Solanum lycopersicum: one gene and its partner. The protein of the gene in region 1 interacts with the protein of each later gene in a biochemical or structural test. Links are inferred from orthologs where the notes say so. Each region holds a gene or a part of one and is shown in the gene's direction. Other genes may lie near its edges. The genes, in order: protein FAR-RED ELONGATED HYPOCOTYL 3 and HY5.

Region 1 (12,867 bases):
ATATGCTGCATGACACAATGTTTTGATTTGTTGCATCCGTTGCACAAACTTTTTCTCCTGCTGCTCAGTAGCAGCTAAAACATTAGTTTTTCAAGTTCACTATTTACAAATTTTTAATTAAAATTTGCTTTTAAGTGTTGAACACAAAGTCTATGATATGTGTTGGGTGGACTCAACCAATTATAAGATTGAACACACTGCAAGATTCCTTGATGACGGTCAGAAATAAGAGCAATTCCTTGTCGTTCACAAACTACATGTGTCCCTAATAACTTGAGAAACCATGACCAAGACTCAAAACTCTCACGTGCGACTAAACCATATGCAGGTGGAAAAATATTTCCATTTGCATCAATTCCAACCGCAATTAACAATTTGATATCATACAAATCATAAAGATGTGTGCCGTCGATAGAAATGACCGGCCTACAACTTTTGAAACCATCAATGCTCTTTTTTAAAATCCCAAAAAAGAAATTTGAAAATTTGCTCACCTTGCATTGTTGTAGAATGATGCTCCCACTCAATAATAGTGCCTGAATTGAATAATTGTAGTGCAACCATGTATCAAGGTAATGCCTTAAATGAACTTTCAAAATCACCATAAACCATTTGAAATGCTTTTCTTCGACCTTTTTGTGCTTTTCTATAACTAGGAGTATAGTGATGCTTTCCTTTGACAATTTCACGGATCATCTTAATATTTATGTCTGAATTTTGCATAACATATGGTATTAATGAAGTGGTAATCATGTTATCATTCAAATTGAAATGATCCTTCTTATAGTTATCTGTAAGACAAGTATGTGTTTCAACCATTTTTCCTGTCTTCCACATACCGCTTGAAATCTCTCTAAATGGAATCATCTAATCACACCCTAACTCATGACACTTGCAAATAACTTTTCAACTTTTACTCTTTGATTGATCACAAAGAAATTCTTTTTTAATAGCAAGAGTATATGCTCCTATTGCAAATTCCATTTGCATCTTATTCATAAATAACATATCTAGTTGCATATACAAATTAAATTAATCAACATGAAATAAATAAATAAATAAATAAACAACTACAAAATATTTAGTTTTCAACAATCAAACCTGATTGGATATGTTTAGGATTGTTTGAATTCCAAAGTGTTGTTCGAATGGCACCGTCATTTCTCGTGTAGATAAAATCTTCTGCATTTTCTCAGTGTGATCTAAGTATGTAATCGCTGTAGAATGATAATTAATACTTTGGGCTTCAACGGATGCATTAGGTGCATTATCCACATTATCATCATCGTCGTCATACATATCATCACTGTCTGTTAATTCATGCTCGAAAGGTTCATCATTGTGCAACTCATCAACTCGTTCATCACCCAAAACATTATTATTTAGGATTTGTGTACAATAATTCACTGCATTTTGAATTTGATCATACCTATAAAAATAATAATATAAATATATTACATATAAGAAAAATAGTTTTAAGAAATAAGAAAACATTACTTTATTTATCTATTAGTTGAATCCGATAAGAAAAAATTCAAATGACTGAAATTTTGGCTATACTCTCCCATAATAGCACACTTCAGTTAGAAATAATGATCTCTTGAAGTAATGATCATGAGTATATATATAACAATTTATGAAATAGCAACGTGAAAAGCGATGTATAAAAATCCAAAAAAAAATGAAATTGCTACCTAGGCAGCGATTTATAAAAAAAATAATTAAAAATAAGAAAAATCGCTGCGAAGGCAGCGATTTAAAAAAAATTAAAAAAATGTTAAATCGCTGCAATTTAATAAAATTGCTGCCAAGGCAGCGATTTAACTTTTTTTAAAAAAAAAATTATAAAATCGCTTAGCGATTAACATATTTTAAAAAAATGTTAAATCACTGCCAAGGCAGCGATTTAACAATTTTTTTTAGTTTTTGTTTTTTGAAATCGCTATATTTTTTATAAAAAAATTAAAATCGCTGCCTAGGCAGCGATTTCATTTTTTTTTTAGAAAAACAAATCACATTTTGTAAAATCGCTGCAGAGGCAGCGATTTTTCTTTTTCATGTGGAGTGAATCGTTGTTGATGCAGCGATTTTGCCGTTTTGGTTAATATAAAATTTTATATACCGTTTTGGAATTTTTGTTAATATTTTAAACCCTTTAGGCTCCGGACTCTTATTTTGACAAACACACCATTACTCTTGGACACTCTTGATAAAATTTCGCTCCACCACTCTTCTACACCAAAAGCAATCAATAAGATTTTCTGTTCTATCTTATATTCAAACTAAACGACTCCATAGTGTTTTAATAAGTTAAGGCATTTGACTTATGTTTTCATCATCTTCACCATTTTTACCAAAATTATTATTTGCCAAGAACTATTAAAAGTTGCCAAAATTTGCATAGTGTTAAAATGTCTCTTGCATGTTTGGTAAACTGTCTCACAGATTTGCCAATTTTGTTTTGTTTTCTCATTTTGCAATACATTAAAAAAAAGATTATCTCAACACTATTTCAAAGATGTATTTAACAATTGATTATAATTGTGTCACATCCATCAACCCTAATTATATAGCCTTTTATTGGAGTATATACGCACATATAATTTACCATGGTATAGAATTGATATACTTTAATTGTGGAAAGTGGGGCCTCGAAATAGTATATATCTGCATATAACATGAGTTACGAGCCTAAGAGGTATAAAATATTGACAAAAAATCTAAAACGGTATATAAAATTTTATATTAATCAAAACGGTAAAATCGATGCATCAACAGCGACTTACCCCACAGGAAAAAGCAAAATCGCTGCCTTTGCAGCGATTTATAAAAAAATAATTAAAAATTAAGGAAATCGCTGCTGGGGCAGCGATTTTTTTTAAAAAAATAAGGAAATCACTATTTTTTTATTTTTAAAAAAAAAGGAATTATTTTTTTAATTTTTTTTGAATCGTTGACCCAGTAGCGATTTCCTTATTTTAAAAAAAAAAGGGGCAGCAATTTTCTTATTATTTTTTTTAAAAAAAAAATTTGGAATTATTTTTTTTATAAATCGCTGCGTAGGCAGCGATTTTATTTTTTAAAAAATAAATAAATTACATTTTGTAAAATTGCTGCAAAGGCAGAGATTTTGCTTTTTCCGGTGGGGTAAGTCGCTATTGATGCAGCGATTTTACCGTTTTGGTTAATATAAAATTTTATATACCGTTTTGAAATTTTTGTTAATACTTTGTACCCTTTAAGCTACGGACTCCACATAACATCACAAATATAAAACTATTGCTTAATATATAAATATGGATATAAATAGCTAAAAAGATAAACTACACGTCTAATAACTTTCTACCATATCTACTACTAATAAATATAGTATGAGTTAAATAACTCATGCAGGCAGAAGATCAACCTGCCCCTTCTTGTCTTTTATGGAATGCTTTTTATATTTTATATATTTGTTACTTTTAGTGTTATTGTTCTTTAAGGATCCATTAGCTTTTAATTGCAATTTGCGACCTAACTGTTTGTCAAGAGAAATGATGTATGGAGATTGGCAGCTTGAAAATAGCATCAAGTGATGGTATATTCTTGGCCCATAAAATTGTGACAGTACGAAGGAATGCATGTTATGAAGATAAGATATATTTAAATTGCTTTTGGATACGAAATTGCCTTTACTAGGGACTGATTTAACCCTAATGTGGGACCTTCCCGTTCGATTTCGAAATAAGTCGGATTTCAATATAAAAATGACTTCAAAATTAATCAAGAATTTAATATAAATATTAAACACCGAGTAAAAAATTAAAAAAAAAATATTATTGTAAATGTGCATATTGCAATAGATAAAAATTCATGTTGCATCAGGAAAAGTTTCTTCGACCTCAACAACTTTACTATGGTAAATAAGCTACTGGGGAAATTTAAAGTGGTATTATACACTCTCATGGTTGAAATAAAAAAGAGGTTAAATAATTTTGATGCAACATTGTTTGTTACTCACTCTTTTTTATTTGTCGATCATTTCTAAAAATAAATTTTAGTTTTTATTTGTTAAAATAATTATTTTTTGTATTTTACTTTTATTATTAGTTACTTATTTTTTATTTATTTTTTAAAGTTTATTGATGTAATTACCATGAATATAATAATTATCTATGAGAATAAAATGACAAAAATTAATACTAAACATACTAATTAATAAAGATTGTGAAGTAAAATAATTATGTCAATTATTGTTTTTTAATTTATGTGCCAAATTCAAATATGACAAGTTAATGTGCAAGCCAATAATGATATTGGGCAGAGAAATATTAGCTAGCATTTGAAAAAAAAAAGAATTCTAAATAATTTTTGCAAATCATTTTTTCGTAGGCTTGAGTGAAATTTTATCATGCGTTTCATCTTTTGCAATAGATTTTGAAAGAGATCGTTAGGAATTTGAAATCCAAATAGATTAGCTTAAAGCAAGTATGTGTTCAACTCCTTTCTCAATGGACCATGATCGATAATCGTTTGACCTAATTTTTTTTAAAATAATTTATACACATAAATTTTAATAATTATTAAAACTATTCATAAGTTTATATTATCATTTTATAACAAACATGTTTATAGAAATGTCACGACAATAATCACAATTGATTTGAATCTTAAAAAGAGAAAGAAGACAAAAATAAAAGTAGCATTAATTTGTATTAAAAAAACTACTTTACTATATGCAATTGAATGTGAATTTAGAGCAAGTTCGGATAAAATTATATAAAATAAATACATAACTATATAAAATTTATATAACAAACTATGACTAGAATTAGTCCAATATAAATTATCGGTCATTTTATAAACAAAGAAGGGCCTGAAATGCTCCTTAAGTACCTGATGGTATAAAATTGTCCCGCGTCTACTTTTTAATTCTAAAAATACCCTCGTTGTTAATCTTTTATTCATATTTGTCTTTATTTTGAGCTCTCTCAAGATTATTAAATATTTAATTATTATGTTATTTTGCGTGATTTGTCCAAATTTAAATTATTCTCATCTAAATAATAAAAATTATATTTTTAAGAATTTTTTTACATAATATACTTGAAAAATATTCAAAATAAATAAATAAATTTTCATGATATCTTTTTCTTGGCCTATTTTAAATCAACCTCCAATTTACTATAACTCAGATCATAAATGGGGATCCAACTAAAATCCATACTCACCCCAACTGATTATCCATCTAAAAGAAAGTTATTATTTTTATTATTAGTATAAATTAAAATTTTCTATCAACTAGATGTCTTGTTTATTTTCTTTTTATTCATTTTTTTAGTGTGTTACTCTTAATTAGGATATATGAGACTCAAAGTTGAAATGAACTCACATGTTTATATTTTTTTAATTTGTACTATTATCAAGGTGAGATGAGGATGGGGATAGGGGAAATGATTATTTTAATTTTTTATTTTAAATTTTGGATATATACAAAAGAAAATTGTAGTATTCGTACATATTTGCTTAATTAAGTCAAATTTTGTTGACCTAATTATTTCTATAGGAACGTTATCATTATTTTCCTCCTTCTCTCTTATTTTTTATAAATTGAAAAAAAAATGAAATGATGAACAAGATCCAAATAGAAAAAAATAAATGAAAGAGATAGGAAGTGAGGGGGGAGGGGGGGAGTGTGTAGAGAGTAGATGATTTATCTTCTTTTTTTTTTGTAATTTATTACATTCAAAATAAATTAATCTTGTGAGCTTATATATTAAGTAATTTCAAAATATTTAAACAGAAAAGGGCTTAAGATGTCCTTAAACTATGAGATTTGTTACAATATTGTTCTTCATCCACCTTATGAGTATGACCTATTAAACATAAGGATATTTTTGTATCAAAAGATTAACGTCAGGGGTATTATAAGCCCAAAAATGGATGTAGGATAATTTTGTACTAATTTAAATAGTCGAGGACCATTTTAGACCCTTCTCCGTATGATATGAAAATTTAGCATAATTTTTTTAAAAATCAAATAATAAATTTTTCTAATATTTAAAAACTTGAAATATTTCTCGTACTTATCAAGTCGGTGCAAATTGTATGATCAATTACAATAACTTAAATTATTTATATATATGTTTAGAAACATTAGTGGCCAAATGACACCAATTTACTGTTATAGTTTGTTTTCCTTTTCCATTTTCAATCAATAGACGAACCAAAGCTTTAAACTATTGGTTTTTATTTTTTATTGTTATCATTGCGAAAGAAAAAAAAATGATATTATCATCTCTTGGGAGAAAAAATAATGATTCCTATGTCTTTATTACTTGTCTATTCTTTTCTCTTTTTACTTATCTATTTTAGCTGTTAATGTTGACAAATCAACCGAGTTTAATTAATTATTTTTAATTCACCCACTTCATTATTAGTAGGGATAAATTGATAAAGTTATTATGTCAATCATTACTTTCTTAATAGATATGTCAATTTAAGGGCCCGTTTGGCCATAGATTTTGCACATCAAACTTGGGAAAAAACTTGGCAAATTTTGTTTGTCCATACACATTTCTATTATTTGGTAAATTTTTTTGGCAAATTTTCCAAATTCCCAAATACTAGAAAAAACTAATATTTGGGACAAATTCCATTATTTGGAAAGTTTTAAAAATTCAATTTTTACCCTTAACTTTTTATTTTATAAAAATAATAATATTTATTAATACCAACTAATTCATTTATCTCCCATCACATGGTATATAAATTAGTAGTTCTATTTTTATTCAATATAAGAAAATTTACTCAATATTTTATTTTGGTAGATAAATATTACGTTGTTGATGCTGGTCTACGGAACACAAGAGGATTTTTAGCTCCATTCAAAGGAATGCGCTATCATTTGCAGGACTACCGAGAAAGTGAAAGAGAGCCTAAGAATGGAAAAGAGCTATTTAACTATAGACATGCTTCTCTGCGCAATGTAATTGAAAGAACTTTTGGTGCGTGGAAAAGTAGATTCAGAATACTAAGACAAGGCATGAACAACTATGAATGTGACATGCAAGTGAAAATAGTAATTGCTTGCGCTGTATTGCATAATTTTTTACGTGAACACCAAAGTAGTGATGGAATATTCAATGAATATGAAAATGATGATATGGTTGTTGATGAAAGTGACGAACTATTGGCTCAGGGAAACAACATCGCTTCATCTTCTCGATCATCTGATTCGGAAATGCAAGCTCATCGAGAAGAGATTGTTCATAAAATGTGGGAAGATTATATTAAAGAATAGGTTGAGCTCTTTCAGAGAGAAAGCATAGGTTCTTCAGTGATTGCAATATTTATTTCCTTTTGTTTTCTTCTCTTTTTTTTCCCGAATTTATATTAGTTGTATTTTCATTATCATGATTAGTACCAAGACCTTTTCACTATACGAATATTTACTGTAATGATTCTTGTTAATTTGTTGCGGAAGTCATAAATGTTGTTACATGAGATTTCTATTGTGCTATGTAATACAAATTTATGGTTAGTTTGATAGTTTTAAAAACTTATGGGTATAAATCATATTTCTTAAAAAAATGAAATATGTTTCTCAAATTCTATGGTCAAACACATGGTAAAATTTCACCCAAATTTTCATCCAAATAATATTTACCAAAAATATTTCAATATCTATGGCCAAACGCTAGCTAAAAGTGAATAAGTAAATAGAGATAGAGAGAGTACAAGACTAGAAAATATAGGAAGTGGAAAAAGAATGAAAGAAAAACCCAGCCAACAACAAGAACACATTAATTTAGAGAAGAACTAAACAATCTTAATAGCTTAGCTGGTTACCTATTAGAACGATTACTTTATTTGAGAGAAATTAATTTTCACTTTATAATTTGCTCTTAATTTTCCCTAACCCATTTTTTTTCTCAAAAAAGTCTACCAAGCTTTAAAAAATGGGTATGGGTGAGAGTATTATTTTATTGATAATATTAAATTTAATTATTTATTTTATTTTTAATATCCAAATTACCTCAAAATTATTCAAAATAATATCTCATATTTATTCTCCATTTGCTTTTGGTATCAAAAATATCTTTTTGATCTATTATTTGGACCACAAACGCTTCCAAACTAACGAATATTCACATTAATTAGTTATTAGATCGCTGATATGACAATCCAACGTCACAAGAAAGAATCAAAATTAACTGTAAACTATTCGGATAGCTTATCTCATTATGTATATGAAGTAACTTTACATTATTATGTTATAAATGATGGGATAAATTATCTCAAACATGTTAATCAAACAAAACATCTAAATTTTATCTCAGGACTAATTTTTTATCCCATAACTATTTATGCTTATCCCTCACACAAACGAGCCACAAGTGCAACACAAAGAGAAATGAAGAGGACATATTTTTTACAAGGTTTTGACGTATTGTATAATGTAAAGTTATAAACTCAAAATTAATGTGAAAGTGTAAATTAAAGTCTAAAGGGCAAAATCAGTAGTAACCAGTAAGGTACTGAAATTAATATTTAATATTTATGTAAGAGTAAAATCGTAAATTATTACAATCTTAATGAGTTATCGATTTATCCAATAACTCAATATTATAAAACCAAAATCAAATCGATAACCATATTTTTTTTATTTTTTTAATAAAATCACTAAAACCTCATTAGTCTAATAACTCAATAACTATATACAACGAATAAATTCATTCAAATGTATCATTATTTCAATTGTATTAAAAAAAACTGTATTCTGTATCAATTATATTTGTATTCGTATGAATACAATATGCATTCATCCTCACTGTCAATTGTATTTGTATCCAATCAAAGAGATGATGAAAATGATTATATTTCTTGTATTTGAATATAATTGATACAAAATAAATAAAGAATACCATGCAAAATAAATACAAATACAATGTGTTGTATTTCAAATGCAATTGATACTAAATAATCAATAATACAATGCAAAATAAATACAAACTACAATCCTCTCTCCTCCCTCTCTTGCTCGCTTCTCTCCTCCCTCTCTCGATATCACTCGCTTCTCCCTTTACTCAATAGATATGCTCGCCTCTCTCGATTTCGCTCGCCTCTCTCCTTACTCTCTCGATCTCGCTCACCTCTCCTCTTAATATGATGTACTGATTTTGATACAAATCAATTTATCTTTGTATTCTTTTCCTTCACAATTAGCAAAAAATACACTTTCTCCTAAATCTAGCTCGCCTCTTTCCTTTCTCATCTCTTATCATTGTGCTATTATTCGTAATTAGCAAACTAAAGTTATAGAATACATATTGTTTGCTATTTTTAAAAGTTTTCCTTTATTTAACTTGCAAAAATACCATGAAACTATTTAAAAATTATTTTAGTTTAAATGCACTTAAATAAGCCCTTATTGGTTACTCTCTTTGCCTAAACTTTAATTTGGATACAGAGAGAGAAAGAGAGAGGATGGAGAGGCAAGGGAGAGACGAAAAAAGTTTACTATAAAAATAATATGTTATTATTTTTAAAATTATTTTTAAATTATAGCTATTTTTCATAAATAAATTTCTAATTTTAACTAGTCATAATTTTCCCAAAAAATACTTGAAAATTCTTAATTTTAAGTTAAAATAACAAAAATAAATTAAAACTCAAAGACTTGTAACTTTATTATGTTGAAACTAAACGAACTTCGTACGCAGATCCAAAAAATTAAATGGCAGCTACAACAACTCCTTTTATTAGCCTTATCAAACTACCTCATGTATGTCCAATTACTAAAATACCCAACGAGGACAAATTGTTGCATATGATTAGCAAATCTTGTGACAACAAAAAAATTAAACAAGCCCCATGGCACGGTAGAGCTATCAAAAAGGGACGGTCCAGCTTCATCGGGTCCAAGCCTCGTGAGTCAAGAAATTCGAAGGGCTAGGGTGGGTTGGTCCTTCATTTGGAAGGACCTAAAAATGCTTAATCCAATCTTAGAAGGGCCGAGGGCTGGGGCGGGCTAGCCCTTCTTTTTTTCAAACTTATAATTTATAATATCAAGAAAATGTAAATATTTTTCAAATCAAATATGACAAACAATGGTGTTGTTTTAATAATACTAGCAACAAATTTGGTGTAATTAGCATGTACCTCGTCTAGCAGATACGCGAGCAAAATAAGACAGTGACAAGAAAGATGAGGGAAATCAAGGGCGCAAAATTTGTCTATGTATCCTAGATACATATGTATCACTTGGATAGAGTGTATCTAGAACAAATTAACCTAATTTTGAGTACATATATTTCGAGATACATGTATCTGGATGTATCAAAATCTAATAAGATTCATAATATTACAACATAGTGTGTATTAAGTATAATTATATACAAGTAAGATTATTTTAAGTTACCCTTAAATAAAAAGTTGTGACTCATGAACCGACTCCGGCCTGAATCAAGTCTCAAAGGTGAAAGACTTATATGAATTGGGTTTATAAGTCCTATTTTAAATGAATTTGAAAAATTCTTTCATAACCCCACCCTAATAACAGGTTGAATCGAACCGATCTCATAAGCTAAGTTCGTTTTGACACTCTAAAAATAAGATACAAAAATTGAAAACGCGATCCTCTTGGTGAAACACGATATCAAAGAAAAAACCTAACAAAAGAGTTCTTTGATTACAACTAAGATAGATTTGGTTCAATTAATTCACCCCTAATAAATTGAAAATTAATTTCCAGCTGGACACAGATTGACAAAGACCCGTGTATACACTTATTCCCTTTTCTTAGTAGGTAAAGTAAAGTAAAGGAATATTCCTATATTTTAATTAATAAAACGCTGTGAACGATTTTCTTGTTTAAACATGGCAATTGTGGTAACTACCTCTGGCATTCATCACGTATTAAATGTGCATTAATTGAAGGGAACATGACAATTGGGTCAATTGTCTTTTTGGCATTTAGAACCTATTGAATTTGCATTATTTGAAGCTATCCCATTAGTTTAAAAACAAGGAAAATAATTTTGGCAAGAAAATTTGGTCGGAATAATATTATTTATATTATTTTATGGTTTTACATATTTTTATCATTTTAACTTTAATATCTTTTAACTTAAAAAATTAAAAAAAAAGATTAATTTATTTTAAAATTGAAAAAATATTATAAATTTTTTAATTTTTCTGGCCATTTAGCATTACCCGAAAAATAATATCTCCCATCTATCTTTACCTGTCTAATATTCCTTAATAGGAATTATCCCTCTATATATTATTTCTTAAGAAGTATGTTAACTATAAATAACAAGTAAAGATGAACGAATAAGTAATTAAATCTCTTTTAAACCCTCAATATAATCATCCCCTATTATCTTCACGTGAAAGAACAAAAATGGAAATATAAAAATATAGAGTAACTAAGTTGTGTTCCATTACAAATAATGCAAATACACATCATGAGCTATTTTACAGCATGTTAGGTAAGAATCACTTGTTCATATAAGACCCACCATCGCATAAATGTGTTAGAGCAATTCTCAGTAGTTGAAGGACAACTTGTTTTTTGTTTTAATTATCATACTGTCATGTTAGGTTCAATGGCAAGTATGACGTTTTAAGAGTAATGTGGTCCAAAAAATAGATAGAAGTTAAAAAAACAAACAAAGAGTAAATACCATCTATTTTGAAGAGTTAAAAGGATATTCTTTTTATCCTTTTTTCGTTTTTTCTACGAAAAAGGGTCATATTTATTTTTATACTCTTAAAAAGGGACTATACTTTTTTGATATATTTAATTTTTACCATCAAACTTTGGATCATATTTGTCCTTGAACAACTAAGTATTATGTCACTATTTTTATTATTTACATGGTGATTACATGACACTCATATTTGGACATATTTTTTTAATTATAATTAAAAAATTATTTCCTATATGATATTTTATCCAACCCACTTAATAAAACTCGACCAGCCCAAATTTAAGAACTCTTTAATCGTAACTCCTTACATAGCTCTATGGAGTACACAATACCTATCTGGGTGTATATGTGATATACAGGAAGGAGTAGATAGAGCAACAAATGACCATTGGAATGCCTATTGCCCTGTACATTGCTTTGGTAAGTAAGGGAGCATTTTGCCTATCTGTTTCAATTTCCTCTGAGCTTGAAGATCCCTCGGGGATTGGCTTAAAATCGAAAAATTTTTGTTGAGTGAAAGTACTAACTAGCAGAGGAGCAATTCTAACTAGGTCTCGAAACATCGTTCTAGAGTATAAATGCTCGTTCATGTAGTGGAGTTAGGATTAACGAGTTTTTAAATTGAGTGGGTCGGATAAAATATTAAAAAGGAACTTTCACATATAGCCACTTAAAAATAGCCTAATTACTCTCCATAGCTATAATTTGATAATTACAATTCGTAGATACATGTTATATGGAGGAGAGAGGCGAGTGAGATAGGGAGAGAGAGGAGAGAGGCGAGCGAGAGAAGGAAAAGAGTGGGAGAAAGGTGAATTGTATATGTATACCGGTTAAATAATTGTACATTATACATATGTATTTGTATATATGACAAGCAAGATTGGGAGAGGGAACAGAGAGGCGGGTGAGATTGGGAGAGGGAGGAAAGAGGCGAATAAGACAGGTTTGAGAGTGGGAGAGAGGTATATTGTATATGTATATCAGTTAGATTATTGTATATTATACGTATGCATTTGTATATATGGCATACGAGATTTGGAGTGGGAGGAGAGAGGAGAGCGATAAAGGGGAGAGAGTGGGAGAATGTTGAGTTGTATATGTATATCGCTTAGATAATTGTATATTATACATATGTACTTGTATATTTTAGCGAATTATACTTATACAA
Region 2 (13,163 bases), on another chromosome or scaffold:
CCAATGGTTATGGTACTTGTTGTTGTCATCTGTTAAGTGTTACGGTTGATTTTATACTATTATCTGATATATATTGCTTTCTATTTTGAGTTGGTCGATGATACCTACTCAGTACTTGTGCCTTGTACTGACCCCTACTTGTATTTGTTTTTCTTGTTATTTGTGGAGTGCAGCAAGCGTGCCATCGTCTTCAACTCGTTCTCAACTCTAGCCAGTCTTCATCACACCAGAATTCAGGGTGAGCTATTGTTTCTAGCTTGGACTGGATCTTCTTCTTCACGTCTTGACGCCTTGAAGTTCTGGCACAGACTAGCTGTTTATTTATTTTAGCTTCTTACATACTCTTAGATTTAGTAATTTGAGGATAGATGTTCTTGTGGTGATGACTTCCAGATTTTGGGAATAATAAGTATTGAGTGTTTAGAAGTTATTAATCTATTTTCATTAATGAGTTTTAAATCATCCGCATTGTATTCTGTTCATTATGGTTCAATTATTGGTAAATGATTTGGGGTTTAGATTGGTTGGTTTGCTCACATAAGAGGATAAATGTGGGTGCCACTCGTGACTCGTTTTGGGTCGTGACAATTTATAGCCAATTGATTTAACATCACTAGGCGTTTGAACTACTAGTCCAAAAATCTCACGCTTAGCAAGTGAATTTAATCTTGATTGAATTGCTTCTTGCCATTTTAGCCAATCACATCTTTGTCGACATTATTTGATAGATAGAGGTTCAAGATCCTCATTTCCTTGCATAATGTTAAGTTCAACATCATATACGAAAACATATTGATCGAACTAAACTTATCCCATCACCTGTAGAACTTGTTGAGAGTTCTTCATTTACTTGAGTCTCGGGTTCACTGATCTCTTCAGAAATATCAGAATTAATTAGATCTTGAATTTCTTCGTGAGATTCTTTTGTAGTGTCATTTTTTGTACTTCTTTTTCTAGGATTTTTATCTTTTGAACCCAGTGGTCTACCACGCTTCAGGCGTATTTGTGATTCAGAAGCTATGACACTTGTAGATGGTCCTTTTGGAACGTCGATTCGGATAGGCACATTTACTGCAAGAATATGTGACTTCGTTATCCTTTTTGAATCAGTAAATGAGTCTGGCATTTGATTTGCTATGTTTTGCAAATGGATGATCTTCTGGACCTCTTGTTCACACACAGGGGAGCGTGGATCAAAATGAGAGAATGATGAAACTTTCCAAGCAATTTCACTTTTCAGTTTCTTTTTATCTCCCCCTAATTGCGGAAAATTTATTTCATCAAATTGACAATCTGCAAATCTTGCAATGAATAAATCTCCCGTCAATGGCTCAAGGTAGCGAATTATGGAGGGTAAATCAAACCCAACATATATGTCTAAACTTCTTTGAGAGCCCATCTTGGTGGGCTGAGGTGGTGCTACAGACACATATACAACACATTCAAAAATTCGAAGATGAGCAATATTTGGTTCATGGACAAATACCAATTGTGATGGGGAGTATTTCTTATAATGAGTCAGTCTGAGACGAACAAGTGATGTTGAATGTAAGATAGCATGACCCCAAACAGTAGTAGACAACTCACTTTTCATAAGTAGAGCTCTTGCTATCAATTGTAAACGCTTAACAAAAGACTCAGCAATGCCATTTTGAGTATGAACATGAGCTATAGGATGTTCAACTTTTATCCATACTGATACGCAATAAGCATCAAAACCTTGTGATGTGAACTCGTCAACATTATCAAGGAGAATTGTCTTAATGGGATAATCTGGAAATTGCGCTCTTAATCGAATCATTTGTGTCAATAATTTTACAAACGCCAGGTTGCGAGATGATAAGAGGTAGACATGAACCATCTAGAAGATGCGTCTATTAGGACCATAAAATAACTAAACAACCTACTAGATGGGTGAATAGGTACACAAATATCCCCATATATTCGTTCTAAAAATTGAGGGAATTCAATGTTAACCTTCATTGGTGATGGCCTAGTAATAAATTTGCCTTGGCAACAAGCAACACACGAAAACTCATGATTTGTAAGAATCTTCAGGTTCTTTAATGGATGTCCATTTGAGTTTTTAATGATTCGTCTCATCATTATTGATCCAGGATGACCTATTCGGTCATTCCAAATCAGAAAAGTCTTTAAGTCAGTAAACTTCTGGTTTACGATAGAGTGTGCTTCAATCGTACTTATTTTTGCATAATACAGGCCAGAAGATAAAGTTGATAATTTCTCCAACACATATTTCTGGTCTGAGACAATCATGGTAATACCAAGGTATTCAACATTCATTTCATTTATTGTCTTAACATGGTATCCATTTCGGCGAATATCTTTAAAACTTAACAAGTTTCTTGGGGATTTAGAAAAGAGCAAAGCATCTTCTATGACAAGTTTTGTCCCTTTAGGCAGAAATATAGTAGCTCTTCCGGAGCCTTCTATTAAGTTTGAATTACTAGAAGTTGTAGTAACATTTGCTTTTCTTCTAAGCAAGTAGGAGAAGTATTTCTCATCTTTGAATATGGCGTGCATTGTTCCACTATTAATTACACAAATATCTTCATGATTGATCATTGAGGTATCCATATACTCTTCAAGATAAAAGATATAAAAGAAATAAACATTATAATATTATTACTAAACAAAAACATTACACACCCTTTTAGTTATTTACAAGTCCAGGAAAACATATTTATACTAGTTCATATAAACGACGAAAATAAAATATATTTACATTATCACAGACCCATCACCTATCAGGTGATCTATCTTTCCTTTGAGATTCTCAAAGAAATCCGCTACATCTAGATGCATTGGTTCAACAGTATCTTCCATGATAAAGTTGGCTTCTGCGTTATTTTTTACCTCCTTCAGGGAAGCTTGATATAGCTCAACCAGGTGCCTTGGCGTACGACAGGTACGTGGCCAATGTGCTTTTCCTCCACATTGATAACATTTGTCGTCTGAATTTTTCTTCTGCACTACGTCATGTTTTTCATTCTTCTTTTTACACTGCTGGTATTGAATGTTATTATTTAGTGCAAGACGATCATCATGATTGAAATTTCTTCCTCGACCACGGTCACGACTGGGGCCACGACCTTTTTCACGCTTAGATTGGTGAAAATTTACCGTATTTACTTCAAGAAATGGCATAGAACCAGTAGGTCGACTATCATGGTTTTTCATCAATAAGTCATTATGTTATTCAGCAACAAGGAGATGTGAAATTAATTCAGAATACTTTTTAAATCTCAATTCTCGGTATTGATGCTGCAGAAGCATACTCAAGATAGGGAAAGTGGAAAACGTTTTTTCAGCATATCATGGTCAATGATATTTTCTCCGCATAATTTTAATTGTGAGATAATTTTAAACATGACAGAGTAATACTCACTAATAGATTTAAAATCTTGAAGTCTCAAGTGGATCTAGTCATAACGTGTCTGTGGAAGGACGACCAACTTCAGGTGGTCATATCTATCTTTTAAATTGTTCCACAACATCAGAGCATCCTTAACAATGAGATATTCCATTTTCAAACCCTCATGAAGATGATAAAGGAGAAATATCATCGCCTTAGCACGATTTTGATTCGATGCTTGATTATTTTCTTGGATGATGTCTTGTAGACCCATCGCATCAAGATGAATTTCTGCATCGAGTACCCATGATAGATAGTTTTTTCCCGATATGTCTACAGCAAGAAATCCAAGTTTAGAAAGATTAGACATTATTTAAGAAAAGGAAATTTATACCTCCGAGGCTTTTAAAGTCTTTACTTGAACTGGAAGAGACTCGTGCTGGTAACGTATTATAAAGAAAGCTCGGAATATTATATAAGAAGAAGAAGACAAGAAGTATAAGATAGAGGAGAATACTTTTTCTTATTCAAGTATATGTAAGTATCATATGTGTGTCCTACAATAGTGAATGAACAACCCTATTTATAAAGTGAGAAATCACTCCAAAAGTCACCATATTAAGTATCATAATAAATAGATACATTCTTATCCAAAAAGGTTTATGAAACCTAGTGAATATGAATGATTGTTCATGTACTAACTTTATGGACTATCCACTTATTCAATGAATTTATAACATAAATTAATTTATGAATAAATATTAAATTCGTACGCTAATACATATATATTTCATAATATATAAATATATATATAATGGAGCTACGGGTCATATTTAGAGCCGTAAAAAAATGCTTGACCCACGAAGCCAGCCCAACCCAACCTTGAAATAAGTTGGGTTGAGCTTAATATTTTTGACTCATTTATAAATGAGACTTTTTTAGCTCGCCCCATTTGCCCCGTTGGCCTCGTATCCAACCTGTAAACCTCAGAGTCGAGTTCGTGGGCTATTAATTTTTAAAAATATTTATATATATATTTTTAATAATGTTTTATTTGTAAAGATTTCATTAATAATTAAATATTTTGCAAAAATAAAAAAATCAAGTATTTTGCAATATCATATTCTTGGTGTAGATGAAGATGGACTTCTTAAGGAAATAATATCACATGTTGATTCAAATATGTTCGACGGTGGAAATTAAAGCGGAGTTGTAAAACATTAATTAATGAGTCATGTAATAGTTAGAGATTCAGATTTGTTAAGTATTTAGGCTGCCTTGTTGCTGAAAACTAGTTTTTTGTGGGAGAAATGATGGAATGATCAAAATTTATCCATTAAATCTTATGTTGGCTATTATGTATTTTTGTAAGTATTCACCAAAGCGTGTGATTCATAAATGTATTTTTGTGAGTATTCGCCGAAGTGTGTCATTTATAAAGGATTTTTTATTTAAATTGATGTCGTGTTTATAGACATAAACATTCGATATTCTTTTTAAGAGAATAATATTATTTATTTTTTGGTTGAAGGGTCAATCCGTTCCAATCCGTGGCCTGCTTATGACTGATTTAAATTGTTATTTTATTGATCCTTTAATTAAATAACTAACCCGCCCAACAATTCTCTAATCCATTAAAATTTGATTGGACCAACCTATTTAACGTCTCTAATTATATTTGATTTATAATAAATAAATAAATAAATAAGAGACGGGGAAAGTATAAAAAATTCTTGAAAGTGGATAGATGGAGTGGATAAAATATCTATCATGGGCAAAACGGTAATAACAATAGCACTTTTTATTAAACCAGCAAAAATAAATGGTCCCGATGCGTTGTACCTACTTAAAAGTTTTAAGAATAATTAATCATAGCCGTTAATACTATCAAATCGAAAGGCTGCCATTTGTCCACGACAGTTACGTATGAACCTTTGATTAAGCCGACAACTTATGGCTTCTAAAGCATCCACGATCACCTCTTTATATCCGTCCGATATGAAACTGATCCAACGATTATTATTCCATAGAGGTGCTTCTCTTTCTCTCCCCTCCTTGTTTAACATTCATGTCCCGCTATTTCTTTTCTGAATAAAATACGAAACTGTACTTTTCCCTTAATTTAGTGTTTTTTTCAAGTGTAGAGAAAAATGCAAGAGCAAGCGACGAGTTCTATTGCCGCTAGTTCACTACCTTCAAGTAGTGAGAGATCATCTAGTTCAGCTTTACATCATGAACTCAAAGAAGGTAATCTTTTTTAAAAAAAATTTAAATCCAGCTTTTTAACATTTAATTTTGACGAATTTATGGAGTAATTTTTTGAAGAATGTGTTGTTTTGGGTTAGGTATGGTTGAGATTTTGAAATAGTTTTTAAAAAACATTTTGTGTTTTTTTGTGAAGGTATGGAGAGTGATGATGAGATCAGAAGAGTGCCGGAGATGGGCGGAGAAGCGACGGGGACAACGTCAGCTTCTGGAAGAGATGGAGTATCGGCCGCCGGTCAAGCTCAACCATCAGCTGGGACTCAAAGGAAGAGAGGAAGAAGCCCAGCTGACAAAGAAAACAAAAGGTTAAAAAGGTAAAAACCTTAAACATCATGCCACGTAGGTGTATCTACTTGTCACATGTTATGGGCTTCCACACTTTCTTTTTTTGGATAGCAGTGGCATTTTAGTTAATATTGTATTTTTTTTTGGTGGGGTTGAAAAAGATTGTTGAGAAATAGAGTATCAGCACAACAAGCAAGGGAGAGGAAGAAAGCATATTTGATAGATCTGGAAGCAAGGGTGAAGGAATTGGAAACAAAGAATGCAGAACTTGAAGAGAGGTTGTCTACTTTGCAAAATGAGAACCAAATGCTTAGACATGTAAACATTCTTCTCTCTACTTCTATTTTTGCAATAGAATTGTTCATCTATATATCCTATATGCTTGAACGTGTGCCATGTCCGGTCTAATTACTATTCAGATACTTCTTCCACTTACCTCTATTTCTACTGAATCCATTCACAGCCAAACTCTCACCTCCCCCCGCATTTCTACATTCGTGCATCTTTCTCTTCACATATCTGAATCTCTTCCCGCATCTTATTCTCTTTCGAAACCACACTCAGCTTGTTTCAACTGTCCTGATTTTATTCTATATCTCCTAGTATATGTGTCCACACATCCATCACAATATCTTCATTTCCACAACTTTCATCTTTTGAACGTGAGAGTGCTCAACTACATGTACTTGCAAAGGCGTATTCAGGATTTCGGCAAAATGGATGCACAATTACGAATAAAATGCATCTTAAATATAAATTTGATCAATTTGACTTTAAAGTTTCTAATATAAAACCATTAAACTTTTAAAATTGTAGGTGCAAAATATATAATACTACTAGTTTAAATTTTAATGCACACATTTGATTTAATTATACATATAAAATATTTTTTAGGAATTTTTAATGTAATACACTTCAAAATTTTTGAAAAAATTAAGGAAAAAAAAAGAAGAAAAATTAGTTAAAACGCTAAAAGTATATAACCAATAACTACTTGTAGAGGTGCTACTTAAAAAGACAAGATAGATATCTAAGATTTTAATTTCTATCCTCACAGAGGTGCACCCAATCATCGTCATCATATTATTATACGATACTTTAACTGTGGGTTCACACATCTATATTTAAATATTTTTCTTAAAATATAACACTATTATATTTGATCTAGAGATGGTAGCATGGGTTCATGTGAACCCATGACACCCCCTCTAGATATGCCCCTGTATACTCAACCCCATACGACATAGTTGGTCTAACCGTCACTATGTAGAATTTCTCTTTATGTTTTGGTGGAACCTTCTTATCACTAGCAACTCAGATGCAAGTCTCTATGTCATACACGTTGCACCAATACAGTGAGTGACATCCTCGTCAATCACCCCATTTTCTTGGATAACGGACCAATATACTTGAATAGAGTATAGCACCAAAAGTTGTGGTCTATTGTTCAATGAAGAAGTTGAGAGCCATGAGATCTCAAGTTCAAATTCAATAGAGTAAAAGAGCTACTAGGTGATTGTTTCTGTATGTTCTAGCCTTGGTGAATATAGTTACCTGGTATTTGATGCTGGTTGGAGGTGATGATAGGTATCTCGGGTAATTAGTTAAGGTGCGGGAAAGCAGCCTTAAAAATAAATTAGATGAATGGGGGGATTATCCAGAAACAATTTATAAGCTCAGTCATTTCTTTGGTTTAGCTCACTCTTATATCGGGCTTTTGTTATGTCCCATCAATTATTTATTAAACATTGAAGACGAGGAGACAAACTATGAATTATCAACAATATGCTGTGACTTCAGCCTCCTGAAGTTACATTAGTATTATGTAATTTATGTGCAGTAGAAATGTACTAGCGTATGAACATAGATCAAAGCATGGAAGCTTTCTCACCTTCTATATTCCCCAATATGCATTATACTGCCCATCATATGTGTACAGAGCATTTAAGCTGAACATATAATGTATGAATGAAGTGTTCTTGTATCTTCCATAGTATATCTGGTAGCGAGAGATGTAAAGAATTGCGTAATCATCCATGATATATGATGTCAGCTTTCTACTCTTAGTTATTACCTTGTAGTAAATCTAAGAACTACGCTCATGTTAATTGGGAAGTGTAGAGATTACTTGGGTAAAACTCTCAAGGCTTGTCTGCATGAACATGTAATACCAGTAACCGGTTCCTATAAATTTCGACCTTGAGCATGTGTTGTATCTATACACATCTTTCAGCCTGTATTTAAGTCACAGGCGTGGCTATTTCATATTAACCCTTTCTTATACACTTCCCCTCTTGCCGGTTAAGATTGGTACTTATCTAGTAGAATAACTATAAGATGAGTCTTGCTGAAAATCAATAAAGACAACTTAGAAATAACAACTCTATGTGACTATCAGTCAAATCTTGGATTTATCATGATTAAACATCTAATTGTTGGAATGCCATTGACCTGATTGACAAAACATCAACTTTCATGATTTCATATTGCATATCCAATCCGCCTATAAGAATCTCCAAAGACCACACAAAAAGGAATTCAAATGCTTCAATCTTTCCATGCTGTAAATTTGCTTTCTTCAGAGATGGCCAAAAAGAAAACGGTGTATATTTGGGGTTTGACTTCTTTTGTTATAATCTGCAGATACTGAAGAACACAACAGCAGGTGCACAGGAAGGGAGGAAGTAGACATATGATCGATCTTATGTCGATATGTCAGCATTCTTGTTTAGATCCTATGTAGGCACTGAAGAGAAATTCTCTTCTGGATTTGAGAATGCATGCTAGTTTCGGGTGGATTGTTCTGATTTGATGCATTGCATACTTGCTACTCTTAACCGTTGTCGGTTATATATTATCAGCAGAGAGTGAAGGATTGTGGCTAAGCTATTCTTAAAGTCACCAGCCTTTGGTAAGTTGCATGGACTAATCTTGGATGATATATGCTACAATTACCTATAACCTTTGCTAGCGTTCCCTAGTGAGTTGAAATCTTTATTAAAAACCAAATCGATGTACTGATAAGACTCGGTGTAAAAGAATTTGTGCAATTGAAAACCAATTAGGTACATTCAAATTTGTCTTAACCTAAAATTCGTTGATTGTGTTAACTAGTTAAATTGTTAGGTTTGCATACATGCAATGGAATTGATCCAAAACCTGATTGCTCCTTTGACAATGTACAATAAAAACAAAGAAATGACGAACCTAAATATTTAGGTCCAAAGAGCAAAAAGAAAGAGGTGAAGTCCTATTTGATTATTTTTCAATTACATATATGTATAAATTTAATTCCTTACGTTATCATATATATACAAATTAAATTCCTTAGGGTAAAACTTCAATTTCATATTTACAAATATCTACCAAGAATAATTACAAGAAACTAATGTTATTTCTATTCACATTTTGTTATCAACTCATATTTTGTATGAGTTATTGTGATATCTATTATAGGTCGATTATGTGTTAAATTTATTTCACGCTAACAAAAATCTATGAAGAAAGATAATAAATAATTTTAGAATTATCTTTCTATATTTGAAATGAATAATGATGAATGGCAAAAATGTAATTTCACGCTAACAAAAATATTAAATAATTTTAGAAACATCTTAAGTAATTGTTATTACCATTAACTTATTTTATTGTTACTTCATTTTCTTTTTATTTCTTTTACGAGTTATTGTGCCATCTACTTTATTATTACTTCATTTTCTTTTTATTTCTTTTACGAGTTATTGTGCCATCTACTTTATTATTACTTCATTTTCTTTTTATTTCTTTTACGAGTTATTGTGCCATCTACTTTATTATTACTCTATTTTACTATTACTTTAATTTTATTCTTAATAATTTTTCTATTCATTATGCTTCTTTAAAAACCTACTTTTATTATAAAAATGTCACGAATTAGTTATTTCAATCTTTATTTTTTATCTAATTAATATACTTGAAAATAAATTTGTGTGATAAAATTAATAATATATATTAGATTGAAATTAAAGAAAAAGATGTTAAAAGTAACTTTACAAATAAAAATAAATAGGATGATATATTTGTATTAAAGATGACCAAGAATAAAAATATAATTTCATTCTAATAAAAATCTATCAAGAATAAATAATTTTAGAAACATCTTTCTATATGTGAAGTGAATGGTGATCAAAGGTAAAAATGTAACTCATGCAAACAAAAATCTACGAAGAGTGATGATAAGAAAATTAAATAGTTCTAAAAACATTTTTAGGTATTATTATTAGTATTACCTCTTTTTTGTTGTTTCTTTTTTTTATGAGTTATTATGATATCTATTTATTATATGAAAGTTGATAAATAATATTATGCTTAGCTCTTTATAATTATATATCAAGTATAATATTAGGTGGAATCAATTAAAAATAAAAATAAAATTTATATGTATATTAAATTGTGTATTGAAGTATTTTTTAATTTTGTGAAAATTATAGGGATCCACTTTAAGTTTGCAGCGAAGTTTCTACATTGATGTTTTCAACACACATTACCACATTTATATTTTTCCCATCATTTTAACACGGAGTCCTCTAATTTATTTCTCTCTTGGGAAAATGCTCAAATATACTATTGAACATTTAGAAAAGACTCATTTATGTCATTTGTTAAAAAAAGTTTGGCTTATCTATATTATTACCATTCAAGAAAAGGTTCATTCATGCCATTATTTTTTAATTGTGGTTTTGCAAAACCATTTTTAACACGTGGTCAATTGTAATTCGGTCACGTCATCAATTTTTTAAATAAAAAAATCAAAATTCTGAAAAGAATTGAATTATTTTTTTTATTTTTTTTCAATTAATAAAATTGACGACGTGACTAAATTATAATTGGCCACGTGTCAAAAATGATTTTGCAAAACCATTGTTAAAATATACTGGTATTAATGAGTCTTTTCTTTATCAGTAGTGGCATAAATGAGTTAAACTTTTAATTGATGGCATAACTGAGCCTTTTCTGAAAGTTTAATGACATATTTGAGCTTTTTCTCTTCTCTCTTCTTCTATTTTAATATGTTTACTTGAGCTGAGGATCTATCGAAAACAAACTCTCTGCCCTTCACAAGGTAGGGGTAGAGAAATTGCTTATTCACCACCCTCCTAGATCCTAGTCTATTATATAGAAGAGTGAAGGGTAGGACGACCAAGGATAAAAATGTAATTTTATACTTATAAAAATCTATTAATAAAGATAGCAAGAGAAACAAATAATTCTACAAACATCCCATTGTATATGAAAGTAAATGGTGATCAAGGGTAAAACTATAATTCCATACGTACAAATATCTACCAAGAATAATAACAAGAAACTAATGTTATTTCTATTAACACATTTTGTTATCACTTCACCGTTTTTATGAGTTATTGTGATATCTATTCATTACTCTATTTAATTATTATTTTAATTAATTCCTAATATTTTATATTGAGTATGCTTACTAAAAAGACCTACTTTAACACAAAAATTCATTACTTAAAAATAAAGTTAATTATTTTCACCTTTATTTTGACTCTAATTAATGTATCCTAAAAGAAACAAATATGATAAAATTAATAATATATGTTAGATTTAAATTAAAAAATAAATAAAATTAATTTCAATATTTTTAAAAATAAGTATTTTAAAAAATAACTTTACAAATAAAATGAATAGGATTATATATTTGTATTAAAGTAAACTAAAACTGCTTACTAGATTATGAAAGTGTAGTTATTCATTAAAATATATAATTAAATATGTCATTTTACTTGATTTCAAACATATTGATCTAAATGTGTTTGATTTAAATAGTTGAGGACAATCTACCGTAATATGATCATTTTTTTATATATTTCATTTTAAAAACTATAAATTGTATTTTTAAAATTTAATTAAAATATTTTTTTTTCAAGTGATAAATTTCCTCCACAAGTTACATGACTATTCTAAAAACTATAAATGATAAGATTTTTCTAGAACTAAGTGTACGACACAAATAAATACACATTAACTCATTTTTCATTTCATTCACTCCGCAATTCTCTCCCCTCTCGTGCCTTATACCAATAAATTTTTCGTCCTTTATTTTTTATTTGCGTCCTAAATATTATACACTCTGGTATAAATCTCTTATTAGGAAAACCAATAATATAGTTTCGATCAACTCTCTCTATAATGACTCAACTTTCAGCAAAATTCAACATATCCACACTTTTCAAACACCCTAATGAATAAATTAACTTGTTAAATTCAGTATCAACCGCAATTATTTTTCTCAAAATGCTTAATTCAAAAGGAATGCAACCAGTGAGATAGCTATTCAAGAACAAAATATTCAATAATTTCAGAATCATGTTATGTCATTTCCTTTGGTTCTCTTCAGACTTTTCAATTTCATGGCATTTTTTTTGGGATTGTAGAGATAATTTTTGAAGTATCTAATTGCTTAATTTCTCTTTTATGTATAAACTCAAAACTTCACGTAACATATATGTCATTATATGAATGACAAAGATTAAAAATGTAATTTTATACTTATAAAAATCTAAAGATAGCAAGAGAAACAAATAATTCTAGAAACATCCCATTGCATATGAAAGTAAATGGTGATCAAGGGTGAAACTATAATTTCATACTTACAAAAATCTACCAAGAATAATAACAAGAAACTAATGTTATTTTTATAAACACACATTTTGTTATCAGTTCACAATTTTTTTAGTTATTGTGATATCTATTCATTACTCTATTTAATTATTATTTTAATTAATTCCTAATATTTTTATATTAATTATGCTTACTAAAAAGGCCTACTTTAACATGTAAATTCATTACTTAGAAATATAGTTAATTATTTTCACCTTTATTTTGACTCTACTTAATGTACCCAAAAAGAAACAAGTATGTTAAAATTACTAATATATATTAGATTTAAATTAAAGAATAAATAAAATTAATTTCAATATTTGTAAAAATAAATATTTTAAAAAATGTTAATAAGTAATTTTACAAATAAAATGATTAGGATGATATATTTGTATTTAAAGTAAACTAAAAATATTTACTAGATTATAAAGTGGAGTTACTCATTAAAATATATAATCAAATTTGTACTTTTACTTGATTTTAAACATATAAATCTCAATATGTATTTGATTTAAAAAGTTGAGGACAATCTACCGTAATATGATCATTTCATATATATTTCATTTTAAACTTCATT

What was found.
Region 2: the proteins of protein FAR-RED ELONGATED HYPOCOTYL 3 (region 1) and HY5 form a complex in vitro, tested with the Arabidopsis thaliana proteins (2 studies listed by BioGRID). The link is inferred for Solanum lycopersicum from reciprocal best matches to the Arabidopsis thaliana genes FHY3 and HY5.

Annotation. Positions count from the first base shown.
Region 1 is NC_090806.1:59,058,407-59,071,273, reverse strand, and holds the start of protein FAR-RED ELONGATED HYPOCOTYL 3, read left to right. Parts: upstream 1-5,693; 5' UTR 5,694-5,759; intron 5,760-6,874; coding exon of another isoform or gene 6,875-7,282; intron 7,283-12,867. Other genes in the region: uncharacterized protein, read left to right, coding at 6,875-7,282.
Region 2 is NC_090807.1:48,168,973-48,182,135, reverse strand, and holds HY5 (transcription factor HY5), read left to right. Parts: upstream 1-5,464; 5' UTR 5,465-5,526; coding exon 5,527-5,623; intron 5,624-5,777; coding exon 5,778-5,955; intron 5,956-6,087; coding exon 6,088-6,244; intron 6,245-8,569; coding exon 8,570-8,614; 3' UTR 8,615-9,002; downstream 9,003-13,163.